Linked DNA regions of Oryzias latipes. The protein of the gene in region 2 interacts with the protein of the main gene of each other region in a pairwise test. Links are inferred from orthologs where the notes say so. Each region holds a gene or a part of one and is shown on either strand. Other genes may lie near its edges.

The links.
Region 1: the proteins of blmh (region 2) and wdyhv1 interact in binary tests that used the Homo sapiens proteins (3 or more experiments, as listed by UniProt). The two-hybrid records come from large-scale screens. The link is inferred for Oryzias latipes from reciprocal best matches to the Homo sapiens genes BLMH and NTAQ1.
Region 3: the proteins of blmh (region 2) and nudt12 interact in binary tests that used the Homo sapiens proteins (3 or more experiments, as listed by UniProt). The two-hybrid records come from large-scale screens. The link is inferred for Oryzias latipes from reciprocal best matches to the Homo sapiens genes BLMH and NUDT12.

Annotation. Positions count from the first base shown.
Region 1 is NC_019869.2:4,810,121-4,818,119, forward strand, and holds wdyhv1 (protein N-terminal glutamine amidohydrolase), read right to left. Parts: upstream 4,794-7,999; 5' UTR 4,747-4,793; coding exon 4,673-4,746; intron 4,376-4,672; coding exon 4,276-4,375; intron 1,842-4,275; coding exon 1,791-1,841; intron 1,709-1,790; coding exon 1,560-1,708; intron 1,490-1,559; coding exon 1,365-1,489; intron 1,270-1,364; coding exon 1,130-1,269; 3' UTR 822-1,129; downstream 1-821. Other genes in the region: ribosome biogenesis protein BOP1, read right to left, coding at 7,864-7,999. UniProt on the Homo sapiens protein: Mediates the side-chain deamidation of N-terminal glutamine residues to glutamate, an important step in N-end rule pathway of protein degradation.
Region 2 is NC_019871.2:27,593,877-27,601,143, forward strand, and holds part of blmh (bleomycin hydrolase), read right to left. Parts: intron 2,388-7,267; coding exon 2,232-2,387; intron 2,135-2,231; coding exon 1,976-2,134; intron 1,891-1,975; coding exon 1,823-1,890; intron 105-1,822; coding exon 1-104. UniProt on the Homo sapiens protein: The normal physiological role of BLM hydrolase is unknown, but it catalyzes the inactivation of the antitumor drug BLM (a glycopeptide) by hydrolyzing the carboxamide bond of its B-aminoalaninamide moiety thus protecting normal and malignant cells from BLM toxicity.
Region 3 is NC_019867.2:29,177,926-29,185,690, forward strand, and holds the end of nudt12 (peroxisomal NADH pyrophosphatase NUDT12), read right to left. Parts: intron 5,441-7,765; 5' UTR 5,436-5,440; coding exon 5,230-5,435; intron 5,068-5,229; coding exon 4,773-5,067; intron 3,463-4,772; coding exon 3,189-3,462; intron 3,106-3,188; coding exon 2,938-3,105; intron 2,821-2,937; coding exon 2,707-2,820; intron 2,484-2,706; coding exon 2,284-2,483; intron 2,113-2,283; coding exon 2,002-2,112; 3' UTR 1,738-2,001; downstream 1-1,737. UniProt on the Homo sapiens protein: mRNA decapping enzyme that specifically removes the nicotinamide adenine dinucleotide (NAD) cap from a subset of mRNAs by hydrolyzing the diphosphate linkage to produce nicotinamide mononucleotide (NMN) and 5' monophosphate mRNA.

The DNA.
Region 1 (7,999 bases), on a different chromosome or scaffold from region 2:
CAACAGAAAGCCTCAGTGAAGATTTCTAAAGATCTTTTCCTAAATTGCTTACATGAAGTTCTTGGAAAGGGAAAAGCAAAATAGATATACCAGTATATATATACATATATATATATCTTAGAAATGTGATGGGACAAAAGGTGTCCCTTTTTCAGATGCAAAGTATTCCAGAGTGCCTTCAAGTTTTGTTTATTTTAACAGTTTTGCTTCATCTGAAAAGGACATTTTGAACAAATAAATCCTTATTTGTTGCCTGCTCCAACAACAAAGGGCTAAAATACGAAATAATCATTTTTAAGGTCTCAGTAACCCTAACCGTAAGCAAGTGGGAACCTTAAATCTACACTTTGTGCTGATTATATTGTGTTGTTAATACACAATAAACTAAGATGACTGACAATTTTATACTAAATGTTATTGTTTTCACAAAAAACAATCATTTCAGATTAGTAATAAATCAATTTTGGACAAAATATTTAGGTTTTTTGCTTCTCTGACACTGATTAGTTTTTGTTCTGAATTGAAACAATTGAGATTAAATAATTTTATCTACTTTATGAAGTAAAGATGAGATAAAACTGTTGAAATTTCAATGTTTTAAAAACTTGTCTTGTGCAGCAGCTGATCCAGCAGATAAAAGCTAAAAGGCCTCTTGTGTTAGACTGATTTTCCTGTTTCAATAGGGGTTTATGAATCATTGCACTCAAGGAGTATATTTGTATAAACTCCTTTTGTATTTGAGGCTAAACTTCATTCATATTAATTATTTTTACAAACATTTGTTGTCTTTAATTCTTCTAAGAGTGTGGAAGTCAAGCTGCTCAGTTGTCTCAAAAAGTTTATTTTTGTAAACTTTTTACATAAAAATTTACAAAATTAGAAAAAACAGATCTGCTTCCATAGTTACCAGAAAACTATGCATTTACCCCTTAATCTGTACAGAATATTTACATTTATACTTTTCTTATGATGGAAAAGGATTTCACTGGGCCACATTTTCACAAACAAATGGAAGTCCTCAACAGTCTTTCCCTGTCAGGAGGCACTTTCACCTGCAGCTGGCTCCACCAGGTCTTTAGCAGGAAAATCCTTCTCCAACCTCAAGACCTGAAGCTACAACCAGCAGCTGCTACAACGCTGTAGTTGATGATGAAGCAGACGTAGAGGCAGCTTCTACAAACTTCAGCAGAAAGTGATCCAGAGTGTAAACGGTTCCCCAGCCGACGGCGGGGTTCATACTAATGAAGTCGTCCAGGTTCATCTTACTCTCTGAGGAGAAAATACACCGCAGATTAATGGTATCATTAACCATTCATAAGACGTGCTATATTAGGCCTGCTAATACAGGGGGACATTATCTTTACCAGCCGTAAAAATGGGGGGGTATGATGGGGGAGGCATCTTCCAGGTTCCATCAGAATTCCTCATGTGAGATCGATCGGACGCAAAGTTCAACAAGAAGCTGTTCGCAGGAACCACTCGCAACTTCCTGGCATAAAATCCGGGTTACTATGGTGTTTTATGGGTGCGTCACCAGTAGTCTGCTTTGCGTTTATTACCTGTGATACTCAGGTCTGAGGTTGCGGTCCGACCGGAGGGCCTGAGCTGCGTAGAGCCGCAGGCTGCAGGGAAACGGCAGCACCGAGTCCAGATCATAGATCACACTGTCTGACTTCACACCCACCTTCAGCAGGATCACGTGGTAGTCCTGCAACACAGAACGACAAAACCATTCATGGTCATTTGGAGATTCCCACAGCAACTTTCAAAGATGGAGGGGTCTGACACACCCAGATCACCGGCCGGTCGTCATGTCCGGACTTTTGTCTCCAAAGAGGAACCTAACGGAGAAAAGATAATGAACTTGAGTTTCAGATAAAGGAAGAAAGAGATTTACTTTCCAAAAAAAAGAGCCCTGCCCTGCGACACACAGAGGAACTGTACCCACACCTTCACCCAACAGTAGTTGGGATAGGCTCCAGCAACCACTTCGACCTCAAAACAGATTAAGCAGATTTAGAAAATTTATGGATAAATGACAGTGTGATGGCTTTTTTGTACATTTGGGTTTTCTCTCTCTATTTTCTTTTATATTTTCTGCTGGAGTGGGAGGTTTTCTGTCTTCCTTCTCCTCTGCCAGCTTTGATTGCACATTTGTGCCTAATTGTCCAGAGCACCAGACTGGGCAAGGATCTCCAGGGCAGAACATACATACAGGCTTTGTTCTTTGTACAGTATTTTCCACACTACAGGGCTCACCGGATTATCAAGCACAACATCAATGAATGGTCTATTTTGAGCATATGTCACATATAGAGCACACCGAACTACAAGGCAGATTAAGTGAGATTAAAGAGTCAGAGAAATGTCCGTCAGTCAGTCACGTTACTTTGCTTGCAGCACGTGGACAAAACAGACTGATAGCGCTAAAACAAACGTTACCGTGACTACGCTATCACACAACCTTTTTGGTAACCAAAAAAACAGTCCAACATCGCCACACATTAGCCGCGTGAGGGTATTCACAATAACACCCAACCTTGTTTGCAGCATAACTAATTAATAGATAGGGTGATCATGATTTTAAGACAAACTGTTGCTTTTTAAATAAAAAAATTAAGGGTTTTAAGTGTGCTTTATACTGCAAATATACAGTAATTTGGTTGTTTTTTTATTAAATAGTATTTCTTTTTCCTAAAATGGGGTGTAACATAAATTGGGGGCTTGTCCGGGATTTCTTTGGTTTTTGTAATGTACTGTGTGTAGTGGCCAGTTTTAGGGATTGCCTATTTGTTTGATGAACTTCTTTGTTTGGTTTGATTGACCGTTTTAGTGAGACGCTTTCACAACATTTGAGCGTTATATATTGGGTGCTCCCAAATTCGAAGTCTGCGTCCTTCAATGGCCGCAGTCTTCCCTGGCGATGTTACTCGGGTCCTTTGTTGAGCGGGTAGGTCAGATGTTAATGGCTGTGAATTTGGACGAGTCTAGCCTTTAGATAATTCCAGCCATTACATCAGTGAATGTCCTGTTGCCTAGCAACCGTGAGTCCCGAACAGGGAGGAGGAGTGAACCAGGCATGGAGCCATTGTTGTCAGAAAATATCCGGGTTCTACTGCTATGCATCTTGGGATATGGACAGCATAGAAGGGTACACCAGAGCAATCCTTGAAATCGGGTAAAAAGAAGGCTGTATTCGGTGGCCATATTTAAAGGACTTGTTGAATTTGGACAACATGTTACGTAAGCAGCCTTCAGATGCAGCCCAGGAAGAACACAGCCCTCCAATTTGGACACAATTAATGGAGTACAGTAAACCCTTGTTTTTCGCGGGGGTTACGTTCCAAAAAGAACCCGTGATAGGCAAAATCCGTGAAGTAGAAACCTTTTTTTTTAACAATTATTATACAATTAAATTCTCTATTATACATTGAAAAGAAAGAACAAACCGTTTTACAGGCTAAGGAATTGTTTCACAAATAAAAGTACTTTAGAAAAGGTTTTTCAACAAATATCTTCTGTATTGTACTGTCAAATAAGAATTTTAATCATCAATGTGAACAGAAGGCTTCAAATCGCGGAGATTAGCCCCGCCCACCGCGACCCGAGTATTTGGATTAAACGGGAAGATATTTAAAATGATTTTTAAAAAAATACAAAGTACGGTCAGACAAATAGTGACTCAGGTGTAATTCACTGCTCTTGAGCCGCTGCATCCTGACTCCGCTCTGCAGTCTCCCTTTGAAGCCCGCGGTGCAGCTGTGTTTGTTCGGGAGAAGAACATAGTGATAGGCAGTTGTTGTTGTCGCTCCTTTTTTTCATGGGTTATAGAGAAACTCGAAATTGCAAGATGATTTGCACGTATCTGTTGTAAATTTGGCACGCTGATTTACGTACGTGTACATATTAAACTGCAATGTTATTGACGCACAGGTAGAGAAGTGAAGTGACTTTTTAGCCAATCAGAATGCAGAACACAATGCACGATGCAAATCCGTGAAGTAGCGAAACCGTGAAAAGTAAACCGTGTTATAGCGAGGGATCACTGTAGCTGTATTTTGAAACTACCAGATGTTTTGCAAAAAGGATTTTTCTTTTTACAGAGAAGGCCTGTTATTTACTTTCAAATATTTCTTGAGACCACCTGAACCCTTGAGGGCTCGGTGCCCATCATTCTCAGTATGAGGTACTTTTTGAAATATTATTTTTAAAGCAAACATTTTGTTTATTCGATTGTCTTGTTAAGCCGTTTAAAATGTTTCCAGATCTTCTTACCGTTCTGGTGTCGTTAGAGATGAAAATTACAGCAAACTGGTCCAGTGGAACCATTTTCTGTGCTTGAATAAACTCACAGAGCTTCCAAACATTTTCCTCACTGAGAAAGTAAAGGAAAGCAGCATTAGCCACTCATTCACTTGATTAAAATGAACTATATTTCCCTGAAAATTCATTCAATCATTAATTAGACAGATGGCATTGAAATAACTCATTCACTATAACAGTTTTAAAAATGGGTATAACATTTAACAATGTAAACTGTGAATATCGATTAGCCGAGCGGATCCGCTTAGCATTTTGATGTTTTTCTTGACAATAAATGATTTATTGACACAAAACTAAAGACTGCAGGACAGTGGGCTGCTTTTCTGATTTGTTAAAACTTGGTTTTTACCAATAACAGCTGGTATAAACGCAGTTTTCCCGGCTTGGTATTACTTCCACACCTTTCTTTAACTGACCCTTCATGTCTGTAAGCTAACCGGAAAGAACCTCACCGAAAATACAGTACGTCACATCCGTCCTTTCAAACTAAAAGCCCATTCCTGTAGCGTTGATTTCACCAACTTTTTATTTTATTTTATTCTTATTGAACTTCAAAGGATGACACGTACACATTCACATAACTACAATAGAAAGATATAAAAAGAAAAAAGAATACAATACAAAGAAAAAATAAATAAATAACATTAGAATTGTAGCTCACACTAGGTATGGTCATACAACATGTGATCTTCAATGAAAATTGACAGTTTTATTGCATTTCTGTTTTTCTTGAATTCCAAGGATTTAAAATGTAAACAGATCTCTTTATGAAATGTATTGAATAATGATTTGATTTTAAAAAAATCTGCTCTCATTGATGAAGAATTTCCCAGAATTTAATAAAGTATCAAATGCCAAATCAAATAAATTATCACCAGAAAGTACTCACAACTGTAACGGAATAGAAATAGGAAAAGGAAACTTTGAGGAGCACCAACAAACACAATACTCCCAAAAACTGGTAACATATGTACATTCAAAAAACAGATGATCAAGTGATTTTATATTTATTAACAGTTATTTTCTTGAAAACCAAAACGTAAATGTAGCAGTTCCTTGCATGGGTATACTGCATTCATTGTTTAAAATGGGTTTCTTTGTATTTTGGAAAAATTGGGTTTTTAAAAAACTTTTTTGTGTAATGCTGGGACATAGAATGAGTTTTGTAGAATGTTGGAAACAGTTCTCCAACAAACAAAGAACGTATTACATAAGTTTGGAAGTTTTGAATTAACCAGTCGACAATCAAACAACAAAGATGGAAGCAGGAATTTTGCAGTCTTTGATTTTGGAAATGAATCTTTTTGAATTGAGTGGCAACTCAAACACCTCATCTAACACAGTATGTTAGGGAAGTTAGGGTCATGCTGCTGAAGGAAGCGACACACTGGAAGGTACTAAAAAAAGTGAGAGTGAGGCAGACAAAATTTGGAAGCAAGATCATTGAAGCTTGCAAATATACCGCTTAGGTACATGTCCTTAAAGTTGATTATACTGTACCTTAATCACTTCCCAAATCATGAATACGAAGTCTGTCTGACCAGGGAGAAAAAGGTGATTTTTGTGTATAGGACTAGTGGTAAGCACTTGAGTGAGTCCATACGTCTGTCTGAATTGAAACATAATTTTAAAGGTATTGGTAACTACTGGATTGTGTGTAATATAGTGTGAAATGACACAGGGGAGACTAGATCCAATTAGGGCTGTCAGAGTTTTTGTATTATAGGAGGAGGCTTCAAATCGATACCAGTTGATGTCATAAGCTTGGAGCCAATCTATCGTTTTTTGAACATTAGAGGCCCAGTAGTATTGGCACAGGTTTGGTAGGCCTAAGCCACCTTGATGCTTAGGTCTTTGTGATAATTTTAAACAGAGTCTTGGGGTCTTACCGCTCCAGATGAATGAAGAAAAGCTTTTGTCGACAGATTTAAAAAAAGATTTAGGGATGTAGAGGGGACGCACTGAAACAGGTAAAGGAATCTGGGAAGTATATTCATTATTATACTATTTACTTTCCCTGCAAGAGACTGGTTGAGAACTTCCCAGTTCTTCAGGTCTTTCTTAACCTTCTCCAGTAAGGCAAGGAAATTTTCTTGGTACAGACTTTGCATGTCTCTTGTGAAGTGTTGTGATACTTAAAACCGTTTCTGGACATCTGAAACGGTAAGGCATTGTCATGTCTTGTAATTGAAGTGCTAAGTTGTTGAGAGGGAAGCACTGAGTCATCAAATTTTTACGAGACTTTTTGTAAAATATTAATTTGTTCCTACATAAAATATACAGACAGATCCATATGGGAGTGTTGTGTGGGCTAAAATTATGTCTGAATAGGAGTTTCCAGTGCAGTAATGATCATCCATCAATGATTTCACCAACGTGCTTTAAAAACCTTCTTATATCCGCAAAGGAGTAATTAAATACAAATTTTTTATAAACTGTTCTGCACAAGTCAGGAAAAATGCATATTTCTTTATATAAATGTTAGATTTTTGTACAATATACAATACTGAAAGATAACAGGCACAAATAAAAATCATCTCAAGAACAGCTCTAATCTTACTGTAATAAATATTTTAAACATTAATAAAAAATGTTATTGCAGCTGCTGAAACTGCACTAAGTCTTTTTAAAAACTCACTGTATTATGTTTATAAGATGTATTTTTTAAGTGTATTTATTATAATTGCCCTTGTTTTGCAATTTTACCACTATAATTGTAAATACTTGTTTCAAAACGACTGATGCACCTTTTACTAGCTGTCAATAATTGTAATTGAGTAAATGCATTTTTATGAATGAATGATGCACTGACCAAACTTTCATAATGCCATTCCACAATGACAAAGTATGTTTATTTGTTATTTTTGTTGTTTATGTTGATCATCCATCCAGTTGTTTGTTTTTGGTGTGAACTTCATTACTTATGTCTGTATTTGAAAAAAAAAATGAAAAAAAGTTTTTACATGTTTTTTACAGTTTACATGTTTTGCAGACCACGTTTTTTACACTTTTGCAGCTGTATTTATTTAATGTTAAATATTTATTTAATATGAATGTCATTTCTGATGTCCTTTTTTGACGTTATATTATATAGATTATTTCTGGATGTTGTTTTTGCTGCCACAGATAAATGAAATTTTCCCATTGTGGTATTAATAAAGTCATCTAAATAACAAATAGTTTGATTAAAAATGAGTAATAATTTACCAGTATTATTGGAAGAATATGGGGAGTACTTCTCAAGTAATCTCATTACTGCAAACACTGTTAGATTTCTTGAAATGAACCACTACTACTTGATCAGATTAAACTGCTGTTTGAAGTGTAATGAATTATCAATCAAAACAGAAACCGCTAAGTAAGAATATTACTATTTATTAAACAAACACATTGATGATGCTAGAAATTACACATTTTCTGTAGTGGAGAAACAACAGACTATAATATTCCAGCTATGAAAATGGACAAATATTTTGAATTTCCTGCTAAAAAAAAGCAATCCCGTCTTTATTGTAGATCCGACACAATTGGAGAGGTTTTCTAGGTGAAAAGCCGGACTGTCGCATCAGCTCCCGAGGAGAAAATCCAGGGTTGTGTGGGATGAAACGTTACATCCAGAACCCCAAGGTCATGCGTGATCACATGACCTCTTAGGACTTTCACAGGAACGATGAGC
Region 2 (7,267 bases):
CAGTAAGGATCATGGCGTGAGTCATGAGGGAGTCTCCGTACATGAGTCTCTCTGCCTTCGACAGGTTCTTTACGGAAACTCCAAACACAAGTTCGTGGTTGAACCTGCGCACAGAAGCAACCGCTGAAGGTTAATTAGATGTTAAAGTTATTTCTCATGTCACCAGTGTATCAATGTCAAGACTGAAAAACCTCCAATGAAGAGTGATTATTCTAGAATGCTTTTGGGCAGGAAGATATGACCGTAACCCCAAACACTTTGCATTTTTCACTCTGTTTTTGTCTTATCATGAGCTAAAAGACAGATAGCTAATGTCTAAAGATGGAAACTAACCCTAATTACAGCTGCAACAGATCTGTCTGATGGATGAGCTCAGCAGACATGATACCAGACGTATGGCAGCACTAAGCTGAACTGGTTGAGTGAACAGATTTAAGCCTGGCGCCTGCAACTCAGACAGAGCTGCAGCAAACACCTGAAATTTATTGAAGAAAAAAAAGCAAACACCTGAAAGGCAGATGCCAGCTATGTTCTCCTCTGTGAAAATGGGTTGACACCTTATGAAGGTTGACTATTTTTATTAAGTTATAGCTGTCAGAAAGGAAGAAAAGTGAAGAGCCACATAATAGTGATATATAAGAAATATTTTCAAACCATGTTTGCTCTTTAAATTTCTTTTTTCTAAGTTGCAATTTACATAATTTAATCTTTTCTCGGCAGAGCTGTTGACAAAATAACACACGCTCCTTGAACTACTGTATAAATTTGGCCATTACCGCAATAAACGTGATTCCAACAGACTCAGAAAAAAGTGGCTTTACATCGATATGCAAAAGAGTTGCATACTCATGTAAAGGGTTGCATATCGGCGCAAAGTCACATTGCTTTGCTTTAGAAGCAGCTTATTTACGTTAAATCTGTCAGGACTTTACTACTGTAAAGTGTCGCATATCTGGCCAAAACTTCTGTTTAATCTAAGGGTGTATTCAGAATAAAAAAAATCATTTGTTCCGGATCGAGTCCTGAACCTTGCGTTTGGTCAATACAGACTGGCATCAAGCGACCCATTCTGTCACGGACCAAAGCTTGTAAACAAAACCACATGACTAAAGATCTCTTCCGACATTGGCCAGGAACTACGAGGGCGGGTCAAAACAACGGGCTGCACTTTACAATTCTTATCGGGACAGTTAACTTATTAAAACTTTACATTTCGATGACCAGTTTTGAATGTCTGGATCAACGCTTTTTACTTGTTACTTTGGTACGGTGGAGGCGTGGTGCAAGGAGGTCACTGGCAAGGAGACGTGCCGTGTGAGCTTTAATGTTAGCAGCTGCAGTGCTGAGGAGAAAATGGCTAAGAAGTTACACTGATAAGGGTTTATGACATGTAGATTGTCTAGAAAACAATGAAAGGCAATGTGTATCACGTTAAAAATTGCTGTAATCTGACCACATTTCAATGAATTGCTGTGTCTAATCGTTGTTTTACGTATTATTTTAGGAGAATTCTGTTAAGGAGCTACAAGGTAGCTTTTAGGATGATATCACGGCAGTGTGTGCCACGTAACGAGACACAGAAGCGCATGTAAGAAGCGTTTTTAGCTGTGTTAAAATAAACTTTCTAACAAGTGAACAGCTAGACCCTTTCTTCTGTTTGATAACACGACAATCGTTGTTTTAGATTTGTCCATGGACAAATCTGGAAAATTTGCTCCAGATTATTGAGAGAAACAAACTCTGGCTCACTTTAAGATAACCAAATGTGTCCACCCTGAATACACCCTAAATCACACAAGGGTTTTCCCTTATTGTTACTCACACATTCATGTCGTTAATGCCCAGTTTGCCATGGAAATGCTTCCCTACATCACAGCCAAACCACACGGCCTGGCATGAGAAGAACGAGAGCACAAAAGTCAAGTATAAAAAAAAGTTCAATTAGGTTGACAGTCATTTGGACCCTTCCACCTACCTCCCCAGCCTTAATAGAATCGGCTGCAGCTTTTTTAAGCAGCTGGATGGGCTGGTTGTTGTACAGAGTGTTGTGACCTCCAACCATGTTGCCCAAAAACTCAACAGTGTACAGCTTCCCGTACGGGTTTTGGGGTCGAGGGTCATTTACAAGGCAGACCTGAGGGTCATGGGATCAAAACATGGGCTCAGAAACAGAATTACAAGTGGCAGGTTAGGTAACTGAGGTGTGGTAGAGCAGTGTTTTGTGTGCATACTTTGTCCTGAAGGTTGTATAGGGGTTTGACATGTTCCCTGTAGAATTCCTGGGGGGTTAGAGGTCCCATGCGATGGAAGTTCTTATCCTTGTCTCGATACTCCCAGCTGATGGTGTCGGGAGGGCTGCCTAGACACACGCTGGCCACCCGGAACACCTGCGCAGACGGAAGCATTTTCATTTTACCGTCGATCTTAAAGCCGGTCAAAGTTGACGTACAACAACGGTGTTTTTTCAAGTAGACAATGACTTTTCAGCCCCAGAACACTGTCCTTGCTTTCATCAAGTACAGTTTTCCGATGTATATAGCAGAGGATATTCATTCATTCATTCATCTTCTTCCGTTTTGTCCCTTTCGGGGTCACGGGGCTGCCGGACCCTATCCCAGCTACTTGTGGGTAAAGGCAAGGGACATCCTGGACAGGTCGCCAGTCTGTCGCAGGGCCACATATCACACACCCATTCAGTCTAACATTCACACCTATGGACAATTTAGAGTTGCCACTTGACCTATGAAGCATGTTTTTTAACGGTGGGAGGAAGCCGGAGACCTCGGAGAACACGGGGAGAAAATGCAAACTCTACACAGAAAGGTCCCCCATTGATGTTCTGTTTCAAGTCCCCCAGCCAGAACTTGAACCGGGGGCCTCCTTGTTGTGAGGCAAGGGTGCTACCCACTGTGCCACGGTACATTCTATAAATAACCCAAGATAGGGGGAATCCGCAAAGTAGGATTGCATGTTTTAGGGCTGTCAAACTCCTCACTACACACAGTTCAACATTTTCAGACTTTTCTCTCTTTTTTAAACTCTCAAAGTTCAAACATTCACAGAAAAATAAGCAATACAAATAATTATAGAACAAAAAACAAGGATTTGATCGCGATCAAAGATTTATGTTACTCTGGCGAGGTGCATGTGCCACGTCTCTGTACAGGAGACAGCACAGTAAAGATAGATGGACATAAACAGCCATTCAGGATGTATAACATAGTGTGCTACTGAAAAGTTACGCGGAAAAAATCCACGAAACAGTGAGAACGTGAAAGATGAACTGCAATATGGAGAGGGAACACTATAACAGGTTACGCAACTCAGTTACACTTAATTTATCAACCTTTTGTAACAAATTGTAGTCTTAAAAGTAAAAAACAAAATCAGCGCTGAGTACAGTCAGAAAGAACACAAACTTGCTGTCTACTTGTGAACCAGCTTTTATGTGTGCTGGGTAAAACATTTATAGGACACAAAATAAACAATAACCTCAAAAATAGTAATCTGGGTTAATTCATCAATGAAGTTAAAAAGTTTAATTTTTGCTTTTAAGTATCCATCAATGCTTAAAGGAGTGCAGGATAAAAGAAGAATTCCAATAGTGTCACCAATAGATCCAATAGTGGTAGTTTTATTTTATAATAACACTTTTTTTTTACTTGAGTACAATTTTTGGCAGCACTGTACCTGCCATGACACTTTTCGAGCCAAGACCTCGGTATAACCTCCCCTACAGCTTCCTTTTTTCCATCCTTGCTTCCCTCACCACGTGCTTCTTCCTCCCGTGCAGGAGTTCAGACAGAGGTCCTATGGGCTAAACCGGGTTGTTTGGACTGGACCGTCTGTCTATCTGGCCCTTCCAACCTCTGATACAGTTATCTCTGGTATTTCCCTTTTTTTTCACTTCTCCTTTTGGTTTCCTCTCCCAGCACTTAGCGCATGCTTTTCCTATCGAATAGAATTAAGCGAAGACTGAGGGATTAATATGAACAGCAGAGCAGTGGTTGTGATCGATGACAGACTAGTAAATGCACTGAGAAAGACGGATTTGACAAAAAGCAGAGTCCCAGTAGGTCAACAGCCCAGTGTATCCTACTCTGAAAAAAATGTAATTGTGAAGCCAAATGAAAACACATCACACTCCCACTGCCTTTAACTTTTATCTTGCTACATGTTATAAACTGACAAACAAATGCACATCTATAAAGACAAAAAAGACCAGTAAATATACAAATTCACTCCTTCAATAGTTTTCTGAGCCGACTTCTTTTCAGTTTAGCCACTTTGTTTACGTTGACTTGTGAGCAAAATGCGAGCCGAGACGTTTGTCAACTTATGTTACTCAAAACGCGCCCTGATGCTTTTTTTTTCTTGCAGATGCCCTGATGAATACAGCTCTGTAAGAGTCAGCCATTCGTTGGTCCAACCGTAGGACCACTCATCACATCCCGCTGAGCAAAAGCAGGGGGCAGGACCGAAAAAGCCGAGCAGACAGATCGACACGTGAGAAAATAAACAGTTGCGGCGACACCCGAGTAGGATCAATATTAGAACACCTGCCGCCGTAGATTAATAGGAGTTGAAAGTTTAAAACACAACAAAAAGCTAACAACAAAAACTAAACATAAAAGTTCACAAAGTAATTCACAGGTTTATGCAGTTCACTCGAATTATAAAACAAAGACAAAAAGTACATTTGAATGCTTTAACTATTTAAACATGTACTTATTGTTAATCTTTCATCTTTGGATTCACAAATGCATGACACTTGCTTGAACTTAAATTGATACTGTAACACCACCTCCTCTTAAAATTTATACATATTTCTTTGGTTTTCTGACAAAGCGATTTCAGGAGCCATTTCAAAGTGATACTTTCACAATCAAATAACCTTTCAGCATTTTTACAGCAATGTCTGTTAAAGGAGATTAATACATTTCATACTTATTAATACAGATTTTATTTTGTTCAGATTTAGCGTTGCTTTATTGAGGTTCATTACAACCTTGGTTGAATGTGCACTTTAAGGACTGTTGCAGCAGTTAGTAAGGATGATGTTCACTGCGTTGTCAAGAATAAGTAGAAGTTGCAGATTAAGAAACAGTTTTAATCCACATCTTATTTCCTTAAAGTACTGAATCATAAAGCAGTGGATGCAGTTTATTTTTCCCAAAAAATGCAAGTGTGGATGTTTTGTTTGTTTATGCTACGTAAAGGAGGATAGTGTCTTTAACCAAACAAGATGAAACTACAGAGTGTTAACCAGCACGGTATTTCTTTGTTCAGGGAGTCTGAAGCCAGGAGTCTGCTGAAAAAATAACATCTGCAAGTCTACATCAGGGCTGCCCAATCCTGGTCCTCGAGACCTACCATCCTGCCTGTTTTCCAACTCTCTCTGTCCTTCTTGCTGCTGATTACCTGGATAAGCCGTGCTCCGTCAATCAGAATGAGGAGACAACTGAGTCAGCTAAGAAGACAAAGCATGTCACATAAGATGAACTATGTTCATCAAATGCATATTCTTTGACATTAGTCTGTCTTTCTTAGAAAGAATGTAGTCTTCAACTGTAAGTATGTTTTACTTTAAATAAACATGAAGAAATGACTGCACTTGTGCTCTGAAGTCAACGGCAAAGACAAATATATCTAAAGCTATAACTATTTTTTGCTTTAAATGTTGTGCCTTGAAACTTCTGAATAGTAAAAAACTCTTTCCAAAACCTTGACATAAAAGAGACGGGGGATCATTTGTTGTGAAGTTGAGCACAAAACTAAATATTGTGGTGAGCATTCAGAGGTCAAATGCATTTCTGACACAGCTGAACGCCACACTGAGATAAAACATGCCCTTCGCTACAACTCTGAAATCAATGCATAGCTTTTGTCTAGAAGCTGGAATTGAGAGCGTAAGCAAATGACACCATGCAAACAATTTGGATAAAATTGAGTGAGGTTTTGATGAAACGTCCATGTTTTGTAAATAATCCACACATGTGGTCATTGTTAAATCCCAACAGTCAGTGCAGAAATTGACAAAACGTGAGCAGACGGGCTGTTCCTGCACACATGTAGAAAACCCACCCACATCGAGCAGCAAATGAGAAGGGCTGACAGCTCCAAAAGTTCTGAGCGGCATCAGGAGGGCTGCTCTGTGAGCTGATGGCCGTGTCATAAATAAAGATCGTCTTCTACTTGATCTATGCATTTGGGGGCCAAGTTCAGAGGCGCACATGAGGTTCCAGATTCCATGACGCAAAGGCGCACGGAAAGACTACAGTCATGGCGTGTGGGGTAACATCTGTGTATTTTTCATATGTGATGCGCTGCATATATGTCCAGTCTCCAGTGATTGTATTTTCTTTTTTCTCATTTCAGTGTGCTGACGACTTGTCCATGCAAATGATCGAACAGGGGCCCTTATACATGCTTGACACAACATGAAAGAGAAAGACAGACTTTGAAATGTAAACCATTGTCCATAGTACGGACTGTCAGCTCAGAAACACACAAGACCCCACGAACGCTCCCGTTCTTACAGCAGGTGCTGGTCAAAGTGGATAAGAGTGTTTCTTTTGGCCAATGTTCCTAAATTAAAGATTTCTCTCAACAAACCTGCCTGACTGGGGCTAGCAAAACGAATAGCTTCTTGACACGCAAATCTATCCATTCTAGCCAAGCACAGCACAGCACGGGTCCATTAAATAGAAGCAGAGACGATGACCTGTCAGGCGAGCGTGTTTATGGTTGGTCTGACAGAGAGCAGGGCACAAACCCGATTGCCACACAGGCAGTTAGACATCATCCGCTCTATGCAAACTAAAGTAAAACTGACACGACACTTTGATCCTGCCTAACACATATGTGATCATGCAGAGGAAACTCAACACAGACACTTGTGTGAGGCCGACCAGTTGAACAGAAGTGATTATACAAAAGCGCAGGATGGCCAGACATTTAGTCATGAGGGTATACACCAGGGGTGGGCAAACTACGGCCCGCGGGCTGGATCCGGCCCGCCTCCATGTTTGGTCCGGCCCACTGAACAATATCAGAGACCCATGTATTTTTTTGTTTTTTTATCTGGCCACACGATCAAGACGTGACATTTTACTCCCCCCTTCTGCAGTCTGTGCTCCAACCTAAAACCTTCTAAAATCTCTGTCAAACAGAATAGAAGACAGTCTTTCCTTTCTATGTAGCAGTTCATCTTTCCCGGTTTAACTCGTCCTTTTAGAGCGATTATTCTGCCTTTTTTAAACAACGC
Region 3 (7,765 bases), on a different chromosome or scaffold from region 2:
TGGGTCTAGATGACCCAACTCCCAATGTTAAAGTGCCTAGGATAGCACAAGGGTTAAAAGTGAACTCTAATGTCTGAGAGTAAATGCGAGCAGAGATCCAGAGACAGGAGTAGGGATTTGGCGAGACATTTACAAGTTACAGCATTTAAAGACCCACTCCGAGGAAAAGGATGTTTTTGACATGTTCTGCTTTTTTCTGATGAAGGACAAACATAAAGAAACTTAAGCCTAAAAATGGATTTTTTGAGTATTTCTTTATTCAGATTGTTGAGACATAAAAGTGTTGGTTGAAAAAGAGCTTATTTGGATGGATGGGTCACAAGCTCCGTGCTCCGCTCCATTCTGATGCATTCACTGTCAGACAAATAGATCCGTGTACGTCTTTGTTTTCCTCGTCTGACCTGGAATCTCCATCTAAACTTGGTTTCAGAGGCTATAAGCTAGCGCGAGAGCGTGTAAACAGATGGATGACGGAAAGTGTGGGCAGGCTTACTCCCTGCTGATAGTCCCGCTAACAACTCAGAGGCAAATGACTCCTGAACTACTGCTGTCCTAAAAAAAGACACAGGTTGTTGTTTTTTTGGCTAAAAACGTCATTATTGTTATTACAGGTCACTTTTATTTTAGCAGGATGTCCCTTAAGATGAAATCTCTTTTTTTTTAAGGGACCTGGCCAAGAGACATTGGCACACACAAAAAACAAGCATAAAAAAAGAAAATAAAAGAACTGTAAAAGGATCTTCTGTACAACATGTGCACTCTTCTGTCCCACACTCAGAGATGCTTTGTTGTATCCCTTGTGCTATCTTAGATGACCCCACCCTTCCATTGACGTGTTCTTCCTACCATGACAAAGGTGGATAAAGGTGGAAAGATTTCATGTAATCCATAGACACCAGTGAAGATCACAAATCATTGAAGAAAAAAGGTTCAGAGCACTGTCTAGTGGGTCTAGATGACCCAACTCCCAATGTTAAAGTGCCTAGGATAGCACAAGGGTGCCACATAAAATGATAATTTTCTGTTGGGATAATAGACAGTAACTGCATTCCATTCCAAAGCCAACAGTATTAATGGTCCAGTATTTCATTTTCTTTATCATGTGAGCACACTATGGTTTGATTTTTATGTATTCATGTTTTGACTGTTTATGTTGTAAATGAGTGTTTTATGGAACTACAAATATGGCCAAGAGACTTCCTGCGGATGACTTCCTGTCTCTCAGGTGTGGCTTATTACAGCTAATTACAGCAGGAGGAGGGAATGGAAGTCAAGAGGAGGAAGAAGGAGAAAAAAACTGGATGGGTTTGACGTTTGACTGCCGCTTGATGGATGGATTAGCAAAGGATGGTTCTAAACAAAAGCTGAGGAAAAACCCGGAACTGTCTGTCACCATTCCAAAGGTCCTCCTTTATCAGAAAGTCACACGATTTCCGACACAGCTGATCCGGTAAGAAGCCGTTTTCCATCGGAACGCGGACGCAGCGTCACAAGCCCCACCATCTTTGAGACAAAAGAGCCAGAGAAACTTTAAAGTATTGTGTAAATAATTCAAAGACTGGGTTTATTTGGGTGGTGGTTTCAACTAAGGATGGATTTTTTGTATATATGTATATTTTTTTTAAAAATAACAACGTAACTGGGAAACATCATCGTGTTGTGTTGGAGTTGTTTTGTATGACTCGAGAAAAAGAAACAAACAAACGCATCCAGTTAGAAAAGAAAGGAGAACCCTGATTAATTTTTTGTAAATACTCTATTTTCATGCTGGTTGTTACAACACTTTGAAAATGGATCAACAGACTCACATGGTTTTGTTGGACATGCGTTTTTCCAACACATTTTATTCGCCTCAGAACATTTATTCAAATGGTTGTCTGCCAACTTTCAAAATAAGTGGAGAAATATTTATCACGAAAAGGTAAAACGTGTCTGAATCTTTGTGTTTGTTTGTTTTTTTTGTGTTTGTGGAGCACGTGCAGAGCTTTGCGTTTCTGAATGTTAGAGGTTGGAGTTGATGCCGATCCAGTGTCTGATCAGCTGATGGGCGATGGTCTGTCTGGGAGGGATGACTAAGGTCTGGTGAGCTCCTCTGAACATCGAGTCCACCACCTGAAGTGAAAGGCAAACTTTCAGCGGCCTCATACGTCTCAACATAAATGACTAACACAGGAACCAAAGGAGTTTGATCGTGAAGTCCCCGAACACGCAAACAAAAACGGACATTTTATGGAGGATTCATTTCAAATCAGAGCTCTGAAGCCTCACACAGATCGCACGTACCTGTTGTCGTGGAAACCATCGGGCATCCTCAATCTCATCCTCGTCCACTTTGATGTCAGTGGACGTGGCGATGGCATGGCAGCCAATCATGAGGCTGGAGGGCATCGGCCAGGGCTGGCAGGACACATACTGGACTGGACCAACCTTCACCCCGCTCTCCTCCTCCACCTCCCTCCTCACCGCCTCCTCGATGGTCTCCCCTGTGTGAGGAGGGGGGGAGGTTAGGATGTTTTTATCTATTCACATAAATATTATGTATTCATCAATCCTGGTTCTACATATCTACTCTCCTGTATATTTTTTGGGTCACAAACATTAAATCCATGTTCAGGACAGCAGCGCCACCTACTGTGCAAACTAAGCAGTGCACGTTCTGTAGCTCGTGTGTGAGTAGCGTGTGCGGGCGGACCCGTGTGCACGTACCAGGCTCTACGAATCCGGCCAAGCAGGAGAACATGCGTGCAGGGAAGATGCTCTTCCTACCCAGCAGGCACTGGTTTCCATCAGGGTGGATCACCAGCATGATGACAACCGGGTCTGAAAAGATCAAAGCAGAAACTGAAGCTTTGAACATGAAGCTATGATGAATGAAGCAACGAGTCTTGATGAACTGGTTCTTGTTAGAGTCCCGGTTCTGAGGATTGGTGCTCGTACCGACTCGTGGGTAGCAGGTATTGTGGACGCCCTTCAGGCTCCTGCACTCAGGGTTCAGGCAGCTCCTCTTGTGCCCCCCCTCCTGCAGGCTGGTGGGGCTCCCACAGGTGGGGCAGAAGCTGTAGCGGCTGTGCCAGGCCAGGACGGAGCGGGCCTGGGCCACCACGCCTCGGGACAGAACCGGAACACAATTTCAGTTAAAGGACAACTAGGCAGGACGGAACAGGTGACAGGACTGGAGTCTTCCTCACCGGCCTCTTCCTCATCGAGTCTCAGGAGGTCACGGTTTGGGGTCTTTGGGAAGAAGCAGCCGTTGTCTTCACAGCGTTTCAGTAACTCCGCCGCATCTTCATCGGCGTTGATGGCAAACCAAACCGGAGTATCTGGGGTACCTGGCTCCATCTGAGAGGAGGAGGAGGAAGAGTTCTTTGTCCTCTCAGCACCGAGGAAGATGAGTACAGTCGCAGGTTTCTGGAGAAGGTCCTTCACTGCGTTGTACCTGAACCGGCACAGTTTGAGGTCTGCCTGTCAGAGAAGATGTCTTTAGAGACTTGAAGATCATCAAGACACTGATGGGCTTTCCGTTCCCATGCTGGACATCAGACATTCAAGTCTTCAACCTAACGCCGCCGCCTCTGTTTTGTCGCCCGTCATAGTCATGATGTTTACCCAAACTGTGATCATAAGCTTTACGCTCCCGCCGCATGTGGGAGGAGCTGCTGTCAAAAGGCTTTTAGCCTCATCACTACATGAAAGACACGGATGACGATGAGACATCAGGTTCATTTTTTGTGAAGAGCTCTAAAAAGGCAGTGTGATACATCTCCACGTCTGGGTTCATGAGATCATCCAGAGACTCTTCCAGTATGCTGAGCTTCACCATCCAGCTAGAGGACCTTCTTATTATCGGCTCAGCGCGTAGGACTGGTGCATGAGAAATCAGGGTTTGATTCCCAGGGGGAACTTATCTGGACCCCAGCCCAGATAGATGACAGGTTTGTGTCAGGAAGGGCATCTCTGCCAAATCACCTGTGTGAATCCGTGAAAGCTGATTCGCTGTGGCGATCCCTAAAGGGGTGTGCCGAAAAGTAAACTACAAAAAATAAAGAAAAATGTCAAAGTTCAGGAGGAGAACGATTAGATCCGCCTCCCATGTTTGTTCTAGACTTCACCCGCTGGTTACATTCCCAACGAGTTACGGGTCAAAGCTGAGTTCCTGGATGATTGACACACAGTGGCGCCTAAAACCTTTCGCCGCTGGTGAATCGTGCCACCAGAAGTCCCACTTTGATCATCTTTTGATCAAAGTCTTCCCAGTTGTCTTTTCAAACATAGTTTCTGCAGACTGGAAGAGGTTAATTCGGTGCAGAGCAACCCCGTTCCCACTTCCCGTCACCCATCTGTTTACATGCTCACCTGCCAGCTTACACCTTCAACCTCACAGAAAATGGCGAGCAACATTGGATTCCAGCTCAGACGAGGAAGACAAAGACGTACACGGATCTGTTTGTGAATGCATCAGAATGGAGCGGAGGAGGGAGCTTGTGATTGGCCGATTGTAGTTTTTACGTCACAAATATGATCTTTTTCAACTCGAATTTTTTCATCTGCTCCTGATTCACAAGGATTTAAACAAAGAAAAAAGAAGAAATGAAATTTTAAGATGACTTTTCTTTATCTAGGTCCTTTATCATCAGAAAAATGTCTTGAAATTGTGCCGGATCATGTCTGTACATTCACTTAACATTGAAACTGTCCGGCCCCGCTGTGCAAATCCCGTTAGGTGTGAACATAACTTTACCCTACTGCATTCAGCCACAGGTAGAGGTATGTACCCCGTCTCCGCTGGTGTCCTTGGTCACGGTTGCCATGGGGCTGAGGTTGGAGAACAGGAGGTAGACTGTGTCCGGGTCTCTCTGTTTGGCTTCTAACCAACCCGCGTCGCTCCTCTTCCCACTAAGCCGGTCCAGCGTCTCCCTGCTGAAGTAGTTCTCCTGCGGGTGGAGCGTGCTGCCATGCAGGGTGCCGTCGTCCGCGCGGCTCAGGAGCCGGGCGATGTGTCCGTGACCCCAGAACTTAGCGATGTCGTAGGCGGTCTGAGACGAGCTGTTTGTGCAGAGCTTGTTGCAGCTTGAAGGACAGATTTACAGAAGGAAAGAGCTTCTATTCAGACACATGTAAACCGGGCCAGACTGCCTTTGCTGCCTTTAACCTTTACGCTTGTTAACTTAAACCAAACCATCATCTCTAGAAAGGTATAAGCGGAGAGTTTTCAGAGGAAGTGGCGTGTACCCGAGTGACAGCAGCTTCTCCGCCACATGATGGTGGCCGTTGCGTGTGGCTAGCATCAGCGCCGTCCAGCCGCTGTATCCAGTCTGGTTAAGGAGGGAGGGGCTGTGGGACAGCAGAGCTGACAGCTGGCTCAGGTCGCCTCTGGCGGCAGCATCCAGAAACTTCTCCACCATCTCCTCCTGCGCGCTCATCTGCAGGCTCGTCATCCGGCCTGAGGAGGGAAAAGGTATGAGAAGGTCCACACTATTTTAAATATTGTTAACCTCAAAATAATTGATTTTGCTTGGGCTTTTAGTTTCTTTCCCTTGTGCTATCTTAGATGACCCCCCCCTTACATTGACGTGTTCTCCCTACCATGACAAAGGTGGATAAAGGTGGAAAGATTTAATGTAATCCATGGACACCAGTGAAGATCACAAATCATTGAAGAAAAAAGGTTCAGTGCACTGTCTAGTGGGTCTAGATGACCCAACGTTAAAGTGCCTAGGAAAGCACAAGGGATAAGGGGTTGAAATATTCTGCTGTTTTATCCCAAATAATAACATAAAAGAAAAGCTTTAAATACCAACACACTGTGGTTTAAAAAAAAAAAAAAAACCTTCAGCGAACTGTCCTCTTCAAAGTCCCACCCCAATCTTTCTTGACCTACTGCAAGCATTCTTTCTATGTTGATGATGCCGTTTTTTGTCTAGATATAAAGAACTTGTGTCGTTTTCTAGGACAGTTTTCGTTTTCTACAGTTTCTGTAGAGCGGCTGGAGTTCATTAGAAATTCCCCTCTGATGTCGTCGCCACTTTGGGTTTAAGCAAACTCTCATCTACTCACCAATCCATTTTTCTCACCTGCCCTAAATGATTTTGGTTTTAAAACCAAAGGAATTGTGCTTTTTACTGATTTATTTGTTGATGGTTCATTCATGCCTTTGAAAACATCTGTAAAAAGTTTTATATTCCCAAGTCTCATTTTTTTCATATACCTAAAGGTCCGCAGCTTCGTAGGGAGACACTTCACCACCTATCCAACACAATCACTTCCTGGTTGCCTGCAACCTCAATTTGCCACCAAAGGTCAGATTTCGCAAATATATCATCAACTACATCTCATTGATCCTACGTCACTAAATCCGTTGAAAAACTCCTGGGAGCAAGAGTTGAATTTGGAGATTCCAGAGGAAATCTGGAACATAAGTATTACTCTCATCCATTCAACATCCATCTGCATTAGACACAGTTTGACACAATTCAAGGTTTTTCATCGCTCATACTTCACAAAGGCTAAGATGTAACCAGTCACCTGCCACGATGAGTCGCATGTTCTGCTCATGCACTGCCTTAGGAGAGGTCTGGGACTCTGCTTTTAAAACTTTTTCACATCTGTGTGGGAGGAAAATGGATCCCGATCCATTTACAACAGCTCTCCTGAACTAAGAGGGCCTAAGCTCACATCAATTGAATGCAATAGCTCTTCTATCTCTCCTGGCACGAAGACTGATCCCAGTGAAGTGGAAGGATAAACAGCCCCCCCCCTTCCTTTGTCCAGAAGCTATTATGTGTCTACAAAAGGTGTGGCTCAAAAGCCATGTATATGTACATACTTGTTTCTTTTTTTTCCTCTGAAACTGTACAGTTCTAAAGTTGCTTGTTATGCGTGTTTCTATAAAAATGTGAAAATCTTTAAATACAGCGTTAAAAAAAAAAAAAAAAATCACCTCTGATTGGAGGGCGGGACTGTTGGGGTGGAGTAGAGCTGCCACTACTTCCCATTATCAGTCTGTTTACACTCTCTCCCTCTAGCTTACAGCTCATCTCAATCCCAAACTATTAGCAGTAGGGGAGCGATCTCGTAGCTTTGCAGCCGTACAGTTTAGAGTCAAACATCAGCTCAGACAACGAAAACAAAGACGTTCACCGATCTGCAAGTGGATGCATCCGAATGCAGCAGAGCAGGGAGCTTGTGGGTTGCCGTAGTAACTTGTACTTCACAGCTACAAGCTTTTTCCAACGACATTTTTTTGTCTGCTCCTGATTCAAATCAATTTGAATAAAGAAATACTCAGAAATGAAATGTTGAGCTTCACTGTCTTAATATATTTTCTTCATCAACAGAAACATTCTACATGTTAAAAACATTTAAAAAAATCATTTTCATCTGTGTAAGTCTTTAAAGATCAAAAACCTTTATTTAACCACAGCAAAGTTTTGATTTATTGCTATTTTTTGAAATAATTTCAGCCATTCATGTTTTTAAAGCTCTATTTTTGCAAATGTGGCTTTTGTTTCGTCATTCTTTATTTTTTTAAACCAACACATTTCTCACGTATCCAAGAAAACTTTAATATATCTGATTATACATATTCTGGATATAAATATGTATTAAATAAAGTGGAAATGTAAAAAAAAAGACATTGCCCCATAAAACAGCGTAAAAGTGAATTAAAAAAGTCTTGATTTAATTTTAATATTAATATTGATTAATAGCATATTTATTAAAACATTTTGCAGTTTCTGTATAAATCAGAGCTAGATTGGACTTTTTT